4 linked regions of the Saccharomyces cerevisiae S288C genome follow. Each later gene encodes a partner of the first gene's protein in a complex. Each region holds a gene or a part of one and is shown in the gene's direction. Other genes may lie near its edges.

The links.
Region 2: MRPL28 (region 1) and MRPL33 share a complex: the UniProt entries of both Saccharomyces cerevisiae proteins name them as parts of the mitochondrial large ribosomal subunit.
Region 3: MRPL28 (region 1) and MRPL10 share a complex: the UniProt entries of both Saccharomyces cerevisiae proteins name them as parts of the mitochondrial large ribosomal subunit.
Region 4: MRPL28 (region 1) and MRPL38 share a complex: the UniProt entries of both Saccharomyces cerevisiae proteins name them as parts of the mitochondrial large ribosomal subunit.

What each region holds. Positions count from the first base shown.
Region 1 is NC_001136.10:1,384,535-1,387,066, forward strand, and holds MRPL28 (mitochondrial 54S ribosomal protein mL40 MRPL28), read left to right. Parts: upstream 1-1,538; coding exon 1,539-1,982; downstream 1,983-2,532. Other genes in the region: TFIIH/NER complex subunit TFB3, read left to right, coding at 1-242; MFA1 (mating pheromone a), read left to right, coding at 642-752; CMI8 (Cmi8p), read right to left, coding at 990-1,232; STP1 (Stp1p), read left to right, coding at 2,282-2,532. UniProt on the Saccharomyces cerevisiae protein: Component of the mitochondrial ribosome (mitoribosome), a dedicated translation machinery responsible for the synthesis of mitochondrial genome-encoded proteins, including at least some of the essential transmembrane subunits of the mitochondrial respiratory chain.
Region 2 is NC_001145.3:840,086-842,776, forward strand, and holds MRPL33 (mitochondrial 54S ribosomal protein uL30m MRPL33), read left to right. Parts: upstream 1-1,856; coding exon 1,857-2,117; downstream 2,118-2,691. Other genes in the region: NGL2 (RNA exonuclease), read right to left, coding at 59-1,606; DSS1 (exoribonuclease II), read right to left, coding at 2,351-2,691. UniProt on the Saccharomyces cerevisiae protein: Component of the mitochondrial ribosome (mitoribosome), a dedicated translation machinery responsible for the synthesis of mitochondrial genome-encoded proteins, including at least some of the essential transmembrane subunits of the mitochondrial respiratory chain.
Region 3 is NC_001146.8:102,557-105,873, reverse strand, and holds MRPL10 (mitochondrial 54S ribosomal protein uL15m MRPL10), read left to right. Parts: upstream 1-1,771; coding exon 1,772-2,740; downstream 2,741-3,317. Other genes in the region: WSC2 (Wsc2p), read left to right, coding at 1-690. UniProt on the Saccharomyces cerevisiae protein: Component of the mitochondrial ribosome (mitoribosome), a dedicated translation machinery responsible for the synthesis of mitochondrial genome-encoded proteins, including at least some of the essential transmembrane subunits of the mitochondrial respiratory chain.
Region 4 is NC_001143.9:128,858-131,560, forward strand, and holds MRPL38 (mitochondrial 54S ribosomal protein uL14m MRPL38), read left to right. Parts: upstream 1-1,776; coding exon 1,777-2,193; downstream 2,194-2,703. Other genes in the region: protein kinase NNK1, read left to right, coding at 1-1,404; putative serine/threonine protein kinase KKQ8, read right to left, coding at 2,431-2,703. UniProt on the Saccharomyces cerevisiae protein: Component of the mitochondrial ribosome (mitoribosome), a dedicated translation machinery responsible for the synthesis of mitochondrial genome-encoded proteins, including at least some of the essential transmembrane subunits of the mitochondrial respiratory chain.

The sequences.
Region 1 (2,532 bases):
CAAATGTGAACGTACAGAATTCGAGACTCAAAGATGCTGTACCGTTCACGCCGTTTAACGGTGATAGAGAAGCACACCCAAGGTTTACGTTGAAAGGTTCAGTATACAATGACCCATTCATCAAAGATCTTGAGCACAGGAAAGAATTTATTGCGTCTGGGTTCAACACTAATTATGCGTACGAAAGGGTGTTGACAGAGGCATTTATGGGCTTAGGATGTGTTATATCCGAGGAGCTTTAAAACATCAGGATAGTGTGCAACGTGGCATAAGCTATGTAATCAACTACTTTTTATTTTCTATGTACGCATATACATGCATTCACGATCTGTTTCAGTGTTCAGAAAAAAGGCACCTACTGCTACGGTTGGCCCATACCTTTATTCTTTGTTCTTGTTACAAACGAGTGTGTAATTACCCAAAAAGGAAATTTACATGTTAAATGAAACCCAGTAATCAGAAAAAACAGTTAAGAAACCTAAAATGGTAGAGATAAAGATACAGATTCAGTGGTTGCTGAAAATCAAGTAAAAAAATGAAATAGAGTCTTCATATATAAACCGCCAGAAATGAATTAATGAGAGGGATCTGTAACTGTTTCTCGGATAAAACCAAAATAAGTACAAAGCCATCGAATAGAAATGCAACCATCTACCGCTACCGCCGCTCCAAAAGAAAAGACCAGCAGTGAAAAGAAGGACAACTATATTATCAAAGGTGTCTTCTGGGACCCAGCATGTGTTATTGCTTAGTTTCTGCGTACAAAAACGTTGTTCTCCCTCCTTTATCTTCCTTTTCCGCTACACCAATATATCATGTTTGTTCGTAATATTTCTTTTTAGACCTAATAATAAATATCCTAAGTAACTATATTATATAAAATATTTTGATACCCTGTACCTGCTTTTGTTATCGTTGTACATCCATGCACACGCTCATATATATATATATATATATATATATGTATATGTACATATACCGCTTACCACCTACCGTGAAGTATATGTAAGGGTCTTCGCACCCGGATATCCCTTGTGGGATCTTGGATGCGGATGGTGAGTGTAAACAGGCCTCATAAAGCTGTCTCTGTGTGCGGAAGATGTCGTTTCATCGGCTTCGACCTCCTCCTTATCTTGCTTCATTGTTTCTTCGTAAGAGGGCGGATCTACGGGCAGCGGGGTCGCTGTCTCCTTGTATGCATGCTTATTTATATCACTCTTTCCGCTATCCATCATAATCTGTTTTTGTTTATGTGCTTTGAATACTCAACACATAAAATAATATCCAGTTAATTGTCGTCTGTCCATTGACGCTTTGCCTTTGTCCCTTTAGACTGTCTTTATTGTGAAATATGCACGGCTGAGAATTACGTATACAGTGACTATCGTATGGGGCGACAAAAGTTCCCAGCGAGAAACAAGATGAAGCAGACTGGGGCCTGCCTGTATGGAGGGAAGCATAAGTTAATATACCTCCAGATATTTGCAGATTAGGATACTGAACTGACGAAGACCTACGCTACACAACGAAGATAACACATGCTGGCACAAACATTCAAAAAACCACACAGAGCCGTTCTAGAACAGGTATCTGGGACCACGGTCTTCATCAGAAATAAGAGAACAAAGAGCAAGAGCTCACTGTCACCTTTGGCACAAAGGGTCGTCACGCAGTTGAGTGTGATGTCTGCAAGCAGAAAGCAGCCCAAGTTGCTGAAGCTGGCGCGTGAAGACCTGATTAAACATCAGACCATTGAGAAGTGTTGGTCAATTTATCAGCAGCAACAACGGGAGCGCAGAAATTTACAGTTGGAATTACAATATAAGAGCATTGAGAGATCTATGAACCTTCTACAAGAACTCAGCCCTCGTCTGTTTGAGGCTGCCAATGCTTCCGAGAAGGGCAAGCGATTCCCGATGGAAATGAAGGTGCCCACTGACTTCCCCCCAAATACGTTATGGCATTATAACTTCCGAAAATGATAGCGTGAGCGAACGCTTGACTGTCTCCTGCTGTAAATAACTGATGATCAATAGAATGCCACGTATATATGGACTTATATAATTATATGTACATAGACATATAAAGGGCATGTGGTAATTATGACATGAACTGTATCACTATTGACGTTTTTTTTACTGCTTTTTCCCATCCCTGCAAGCGAAAAAAAAAGCAAGCTGACTCTTGTATAAACTGCAAGGACTCATTGATTAAAAGTAGATTTACATTACAGACTAAAGGAAAAGGCAAACTATACCGGCTATACCACATTCGTTCAAAAATGCCCTCTACCACGCTACTGTTTCCGCAGAAACATATTAGGGCCATTCCAGGCAAGATATACGCGTTCTTCAGAGAGCTCGTCAGCGGAGTTATTATATCCAAGCCAGATCTAAGTCATCATTATTCTTGTGAAAATGCGACAAAGGAGGAAGGCAAAGATGCAGCAGATGAAGAAAAGACTACCACAAGTTTGTTTCCCGAATCAAATAATATAGACCGTTCTTTAAATGGTGGCTGCTCTGTGATCCC
Region 2 (2,691 bases), on another chromosome or scaffold:
GTCGTGCTAAACGTTGTACTGTACAACTATTAGCAAGATATTTATGCACGACAGTAATCTATAGTTGTAACTCTAAATCACACACCATAGACAAATGATCACTTGCATATTCTCCAACATGTGGTTGTCCATGCTTTGTCATTTCATTACCGGGCGGCATTCTCAAAAAACCTCTGCATTTAACTTTATTTTCTTTTTCAAAATCGCCAAGGGTTTCCACTTCCTGACAATTACTTTGTGGGTCCCATTTCTTTACATAAAATAGATAGTCTAATAAACCACGCCAAGTGTTTGCCCAATTTGAAATTTCAGGCTCACCTCTATCATTATCAAGACCTGCATTTTCTGGATGAACATTCTTATACCCAACAGAGTATAGTGAAATAGCCCTCATATCCAATGAGTTATGGAGTTGTGCCATTTTATCTACGAGTTCAGACTGTTCTTCATTAGCATGAAATTTTTCAGGAACGGGGCTCTCAGGTTGATCTTTACCATATTTTTCAATATTCCCGCCTTCTTCGTCATCTGCACCTTCTTCGCCATCACGGACCTTGGAAAACTTATATGAAGTGCTGCACCCAATGACGGTCTTTGCCCTGTTTCTATAGTGCACTGGTTTGGATGTCATAGATAAATATGGTGTGTCGAACGGCTGGGAATTAAAATCACCACAGAAAAAAGGAAACCAATGAGATAAATCCCCATCATTTTCGTTCTGTAAAACATTCACACGATGCATGAATTCCTTCATCTTTTTTAAAACAATATAGCATTGTCTTGTTCGTTCATAAGTACCAAATGGATGCCAAAATAGATGCGTAGTGCCGATCAAGATACCGCATTTTTTAGACGATTTTTTACCCAAATTCGACAGTACTTTCTCAGAAAACTTCAAGGCTAAGACTAATCCCACGTTGTTTGTCGTTGTTCTAGTGGAAATGCTTTCTGAACTTTCTTTATCATAGTCGATTAGCATTTTGTCAACCTGGTGAAATAATTCTCTCCTCCACATTATCGCGACACCATGGTTTTTTGTAGCATTTCTATAATATTGTCCATCGTATCCCAATTTACTGAATTCATCTTTCCAAAAGCTTTGAAACTGAATATGATCAATCTCTTGCAAACAAATGACATCGGAATTATAATATTTAAACTCGTTTAAGAGAACTTTAGAACGCCTGTACCATTTTAAAGCGTCACCACTATCCGGGAACAGCTTTCTGCGGATTAGAGCTTGCGCCAAGCAATTATAAGTCATTAGCTTGAATCTAAATCCAGTTACTGGCTCTGCCTCATGTAGAGATAGGAAAGGTCTTCTGATAAAATGCAGCTCTGGCGGGCAGTCCGGATCAACACCTTGAGCCAACATTGCATCTCTTTTAGCCTTTCTCATAACTTCCCTTTCGGCACGAACCTTAGCGATATGTTCTGGGGTCACTATGGGCTTCGATTTTTTACCTTTCTTGCCCTTCTTTTTATGTTGAAGTAACGAATCATCATTGGTTTGATGTTTTGCATCTTTTACAGATTTATTAATTTCTACTTCTTGGTCGGGCGCAACATCTGGGGCAACCACTTTGACTTCTTTGTCTTGTGTCATATTTACTTAATACTCTTAACTACAATTAAGAAGCTATAAGGAGACTACAATCTCATCTTCTTGCAACACTACTTTTCCTTTCCTCTTGCTTTAGTGCAACCATTTTTTGAAAAATGAATGGTCTTTCTGCACGAAATATCTCTCGAAGAGCTTTTCTAGATATTAAGGATAAAGTATATCATCCCAAAAGTTAGGTGATGGAATCAATATTGATGGACCAGCTAAAACACGTTGAAAGCAGATATCAGGAATGGTGTTTTACAAAGTCACGTTGAGTAGGTCGCTTATCGGTGTGCCACACACAACGAAGAGCATTGTCAAAAGTTTGGGTTTAGGTAAAAGAGGGTCCATAGTCTACAAAAAAGTAAACCCGGCCATAGCTGGCTCCCTAGCTAAAGTAAAAGAGTTAGTCAAAGTAGAAGTAACAGAACATGAATTAACACCATCGCAGCAACGAGAGTTGAGAAAGTCAAACCCTGGGTTTATAGTGGAGAAGAGAACCATCGACTGAAACAGCGAAAATAAGGCAACTGGATTTCCTTTCTTCTTGATATTCCTGACTTATATATGTATATAGTATTATTTTTTCCTGCATAGGCACATATGTTAATAGTAATTTATGCAATTTTTGATACAAAGAAATCAATACACTATCTCGATTTCATATTTTATGTATGTATATATTTACAAGAAGAAAATTATGCATGGTCTATTGAATTTTATATTTGGAAAAAGAGTCCCTTTTTATAGCTTTTCCAACTCTAACATTCCTTCTAAACAGTCAATTTTTGAAATTTTACAATTCTTCACGATATCTCCAATCATCGGATAATGCATAGAACTTGGATGCAATTTTAATGTTCCTCTAGCGAACGATAAGTCTGGAAAAACACATCCAGTAAATCCGTTCTGCGGTACTGATGTTACCATTACATCGAAAGTCCTTTCTGGCTCTAGTTTGGTTAGCTTTTTTAAATAATTCAGTGTCCAGTACGTCGACGAATTACGGCTAGCCCTTTTTAAAATATCCGCTCGAGATTGAATTGGCCAGATCAAACTGTCGATTTGTGTTTGATTAAAACATA
Region 3 (3,317 bases), on another chromosome or scaffold:
TCTCAAGCTAACCAACAAGCAAGCACGATCTTTACCACCAGGACCTCTGTTTATGCAACAGTATCGTCTACGTCCTCCTCTACTAGTTCTCTCTTAAACGGGAAATCGAGCTCGTCCAAGAGCAAAGGCTTGAGTGGTGGCGCCATCGCAGGTGTCGTAGTAGGTGTGGTTTGTGGTACAGTTGCCTTGTTGGCTCTGGCGTTATTCTTTTTCGTATGGAAAAAACGTCGCCAATCTTCTCAGCATGTGGACTTGGAAGAGACAAAGCAGTACCAGCCGTACTCACTGGGTGATGCTGACGCTAACCCTGTTATTCCACCGTCTGCTTCGAGCACTAACTGGCACATACCCTCTAGGAATAATACAGCATTGTCCAAGAATACAGCGTCTACTTTTGCCACTTATGATCTGCCGACAAGGGCGCCGGGCGGCAGAGATTCTATTATTACTGGTGATGCACATAATATCAGCAAAAGAAGTCACTTTCCCTCGGTAGTGTACGAGGAGCCTCCTTCGATCTATAACGGGAACCAAAGGTTCAGTGCTACTTCGCTGCCCGATATGATGGAAGAAAGACAACTACACATTGTCAACCCCGATAATGTGAGTTCAAATATTGGGAGTAATGTCTCAGATGGTGATGATGATTACGATGATGCAAAGGATTCCAATAATAGTTCTTTGCGCTGACTAGGTTTAGATACCAACACTACATATTCATATCAAAGACTTATTCATCCTTTCATATTTCTTTCCTTCATTTTCCCTTTGTATGTATAATATTATTAAAGCCGACGATTATTGCACGAAAGAAAAAAAATATAGATAAAGTGAACAGTACCGACCATATCAATATTGATTTATCATGTTAAAAAGTTAAGTATATGTATAGTTTATCAAAATGAATGTACACATTTTCTATTCTTCACAAATCTGAGGCAATGGGGTCTGTCTCAAATCACCATCAGGCATGTTTACCGTAGAATAAAAATAATATGCTTCCAATCGGATTTGAACCGATGATCTCCACATTACTAGTGTGGCGCCTTACCAACTTGGCCATAGAAGCTCAGAACTTGAGAAAACCGGATATACAAGTGCTACTTAACAAAATGAGTATGGAAATCCTAATCTTCTTACTTTAGTTAGTATAAGAATCTGTGTATATTTGGTGAATAATTTGATGATTGTTGGGATTCCATTGTTAATAAATACTATACTAGAAGTTCTCCTCGAGGACATATGATGTCGTTAGGACGTGATAAAAACCATTTCGTCCTTGGGAGATCACGGATGCATCGAGAAGTTTCCTAGCCAGTCATTGGGTTATTGTGCCGAAATTAACTTTAATCAATCAGAAGAGAGAAACCAAATGGCGTCCCCCAATTATTCACACTTCTGCAAAACAACTTAATTACTTTTCGTTTTTCACAAAACAAACGCAGCTCATATTTTGGGTAGGGCATTCCAAGTATCCATTTTATTGTGCGTTCATTGGTCTCGGTGAACGTAGGACAATATGAGTTCCGATTATACCAAATACCGTAGCAAACTCCTGATTGCAATTAAACAGTATATTTTGCGTATTCTGCGTCGCAAGCAATGTTAGATAAGGTACCTTTATGTACTATACAAAGCTACTATTCACAGCTACTATCTTTATATCCGTTTTTCTATTTGGCAATCGTATAGTTTTCTTACCCGGCTGAAACTCCAGGTAACTGCACTAAACGCAGTGCGTAAAATTAAAGCTCATGACCTTTAGAAGTTGATGAAAGCGGAAAGGCAAACAGGATTAAGAAATAGTTTTACAACCGTAATCGGTCGCAAACTAATAAACACTTTTGTTCCGTCCATGATGTTAACTAGCGTAGCTGGTAACGATATTTTTTTCCGAGGTTTATTCAAATCGCCGGTATTAGCATTTCAAAGTTATCGTTATGTTTCGATTTTGGGACAATTGAAACCGTCAGATGGTTCTACAAAGTCTTTCAAAAGACTTGGGCGTGGTCCTTCCAGCGGTTTAGGTAAGACATCAGGGCGTGGTCAAAAGGGTCAAAAGGCGCGTGGTAAAGTAAAATCGTGGTTTGAAGGTGGTCAAACTCCAATTTACAAGCTATTTCCTAAAATTGGATTTACCAACGTTGGCGCCAAACCATTAAAGGAATTAAACTTGAAACGCATTCAATGGTTTCATGATAAAAATAGGCTTCATTTGCAACCAGGCGAGGTTTTAGACATGAATAAGATGAGAAAGCTTGGTCTGGTAACTGGTCCCATAAAGTACGGAGTTAAAATTCTAGCCAGCGGAAAGTTCCACTACAATCTACCGATTGCTTTGGAGGCTTCTAGAGCATCCGCTAAGGCTATTGCGGCTATTGAAAAAGCAGGAGGTAAGTTTACAGCTCGTTACTACACACCGTTGGGTCTAAGGGCACATCTCAACCCCCAGTGGTTTCTTGAGAAGAGGGGAAGAGTACCACTACAGGCTAGACCCACGAAAAGAAGGGATATTGATTTCTATAGTAAAGAAGAGAAAAGAGGTTACCTAGTAATGGAAAAAGATAAACTCTTACAAGATATCAAAGAAGCTCAAAATAAGGGTTCTAGACACTTTTTAAAACAGAATGTAAAAAAGAGCTCATTAGAAATAGAGCTAGAAGAACTGTCTCCAGAGAAGGATTGGGTGCCAGTTGTGTCTAATTCTAAAGTCATGAACATCAAGGCTTTGGACCACTAAAAAATTGTTAACCGTTTTATATATAAGTAATATTCTCACTTGTACATACCTTAAGATATTGTCTTGTTAATGATTCATTTGGTGTCCGAAATTATTCTATTTTTCAGTCAATTTATGACCAACTATCGAATAAGGTCCTGATTTTCAGAAATTTTTAACTTTTATTTTCTTTTTTGTGAATATACTTTAAGCAAACTCAAACATATTAAAAGATTGCATCTTGCTTTTTCGGGAGAAGTAAAGCAGTTAAAGGAAAAGAGAAAAACTACATTCTTCTTTTAAGCATTATTATAACAGGGTGAAATGGTTATTTAGTAAATAAGCACAAATACAAAAAAAATAAACGACCCCAGTGAGGGTTGAACTCACGATCTTGCGATTAACAGTCGCACGCCTTAACCAACTTGGCCATGGAGTCTTATAATATATGATTTGTTGTATCTCAAAATGAGGTACGTCAGTATGACGATTCCTTATCCTAAACGTTCCTAAAACACATATGTGTGGGAAATGGGTGAATTTTGAGAATTGGGCGAATTTTGAGAGAATTGTTTGGATAGACGATAGTGGATTTTTA
Region 4 (2,703 bases), on another chromosome or scaffold:
ATCATACGGGAATGCTTTGATATTGAAACTGGTGTTGGTAGAGTGATAAAAATTGTGAAGTTCAAAGGACACCAAAATATCAAGAAACATGTGCTGAGAGAAGTAGCCATATGGAGGACTTTGAAGCATAACAGAATACTCCCCCTTTTAGATTGGAAGCTTGATGACAACTATGCAATGTATTGTTTAACGGAAAGAATTAACGATGGTACCTTATACGACTTGGTAATATCTTGGGACGAATTCAAACGTTCGAAGATACCATTTGCAGAGAGATGCAGATTGACCATTTTTTTAAGCTTACAACTATTATCTGCATTAAAGTACATGCATTCCAAAACGATTGTTCATGGTGACATCAAATTAGAAAACTGTCTGTTACAAAAAGAAGGTAAAAAATCGGATTGGAAGGTTTTCCTATGCGATTTTGGAATGAGTTGCCACTTCGATGAGAAGCATGTTTATCGTAACGATACTTTTGATGAAAACTTGAGTAGTGGCAACAGCCATAGAAAGAGAAAAAGTATTGAACAAACTAATTTGATAAAGTATCCCACAACCAATTTTTTACCTGACGACCGAACTAATGATTTTGACGCTAGTGAAAACTTAAAATACCAATTTGAAAATCGAAAGCATCAACCGTTTACACCAAAAGGAATGGTTAGCTCCAGTTCACATTCATTAAAGCATCTCAATCAACCATCCTCTTCTTCTTCTTCTAATCTATTTCACAAGCCAGCCTCTCAACCTCAACCACAGCATCGGAGTCCCTTTCATGGGAGGCACAAGACAACCGATTTTTCAAACCTGGAACCCGAACCTTCTAAATATATCGGATCTCTGCCTTACGCTTCGCCAGAACTTCTAAGATACTCAGATGCAAGACGTTCAAAATCAGTTGAAATGCATATTTATGATTCACCAGACTCCTCTCAATCGGAAATTAGCGCAGCATCATCATCTTCCTCTAATTTATCTTCTCTATCATCCTCTACAAAGGCGTCCGCAGTCACGAATTCCGGTGTAACTACAAGTTCACCGTCTGGTTCATCGACTGATTTTCCATGTATTGTTTCTCCTTTAGGACCAGCATCCGATATTTGGGCCTTGGGAGTAATGCTATATACAATGTTAGTAGGAAAATTACCCTTTAATCATGAGTTCGAACCTAGGTTACGCTCTCTGATTAAAGTAGGCGAATTTGACCGATTTTCTTTAGCTCAGGTCTGTAAATTTGACAGGAAAAAAAATGAAGGAACGATTGGTCAAGGCTTGTATGACACAGTCATTGGATGTTTGACGATTGACTTGGATAAGAGGTGGAAATTGAAAAGGATTGAAGAAGTCCTTCAAAACGAAATGAACCTAAGCGAGGCCATTCACGATAATAATGGCTCATGACTTATGATTAATGATATTGATTGCATTGAAAAAATACATACATTGTGCTTACTTTTTTTTCTCCCATTTTATAAATTATAACGAACTTCATAATTACTATTACGAAATATGTAAATAAGTATTTTTATCGCATATTTGATGCCTCTATCACTTATTTGGCGCTATTCATTGCGACTCGTGCAACGTGCGAAAACTCAGAATATTTTTTTGAACAGCCTTAAATCATGTTGCTAAATGACGGATGGAAGAAAAGGGACCTATAGAAGAGTTCGGATAAATTGTGAAGCGTGGATATTGGCATAGCGGATTTGTAGAACGGTGTGTCGTCAACCCTTTGAGATCTGGATAAGCCATATTTTCTAACATCACAACATGATATTTCTAAAATCTGTCATCAAGGTAATCGACAATTCAGGTGCACAATTAGCAGAATGTATTAAAGTAATAAGGAAAGGGTCCCCCAAGAGTCCTGCAATGGTTGGAGACAGAATAGTCTGTGTTATACAGAAAGCAAAGCCCTTGACTCAAAACATTACGGGGACAGCCAACACCAACCGTGTCAAAAAAGGTGATATTTGTCACGCAATTGTCGTAAGGTCTAAACAGCGTAACATGTGCAGAAAGGATGGCTCCACCGTTGCATTCGGAGATACTGCTTGCGTTTTGATTAATAAAAATACCGGTGAACCTCTGGGGACAAGAATTATGGCTAATGATGGTTGTGTAGATAGAACACTGAAAGACAAGGGATACAATAAGATATGCTCTTTGGCAAGTAGGGTCATATAAGAATAAAAGTACCCCCATTTTCCATTCATTAACGTTATAATCAAGGGACTGTAAACCAGCAAAAGAGCTTTGTCGTCATTATTTAATTAACCACCTGTATATATTGCTTAAATTTTAATGTATGACTTTAACTTTGAAAACGCATGAACGTGCTGCTGACGTTCTACTCATTGGAGTTGTATTCTTTTTCTTGTCTTATTCTATAATTGCATGCCGTGAATATTGTATACAAGATATTTATGTGGAATCATATATTAGGCAGCAATTCGTACTTTTCATCCACTGCATATCTAAAAGTTTGCCAACAGAAATCCTTTTTCTTGGTTCCCATTGAAAGATGCGATATAATGCGATTTTTCTATTTGTGGCCAACTCTGAGTTTACGTGCTTTAATTCTTCGAATACCCTAAACTGGTTTTTACGCTGCATTTCCTTGTAAAATTCATCATAAGACATATCTTTTTCTCTCGAAGCTACTTTCCAAAGATAATGCCCCAATATCATTGTTAT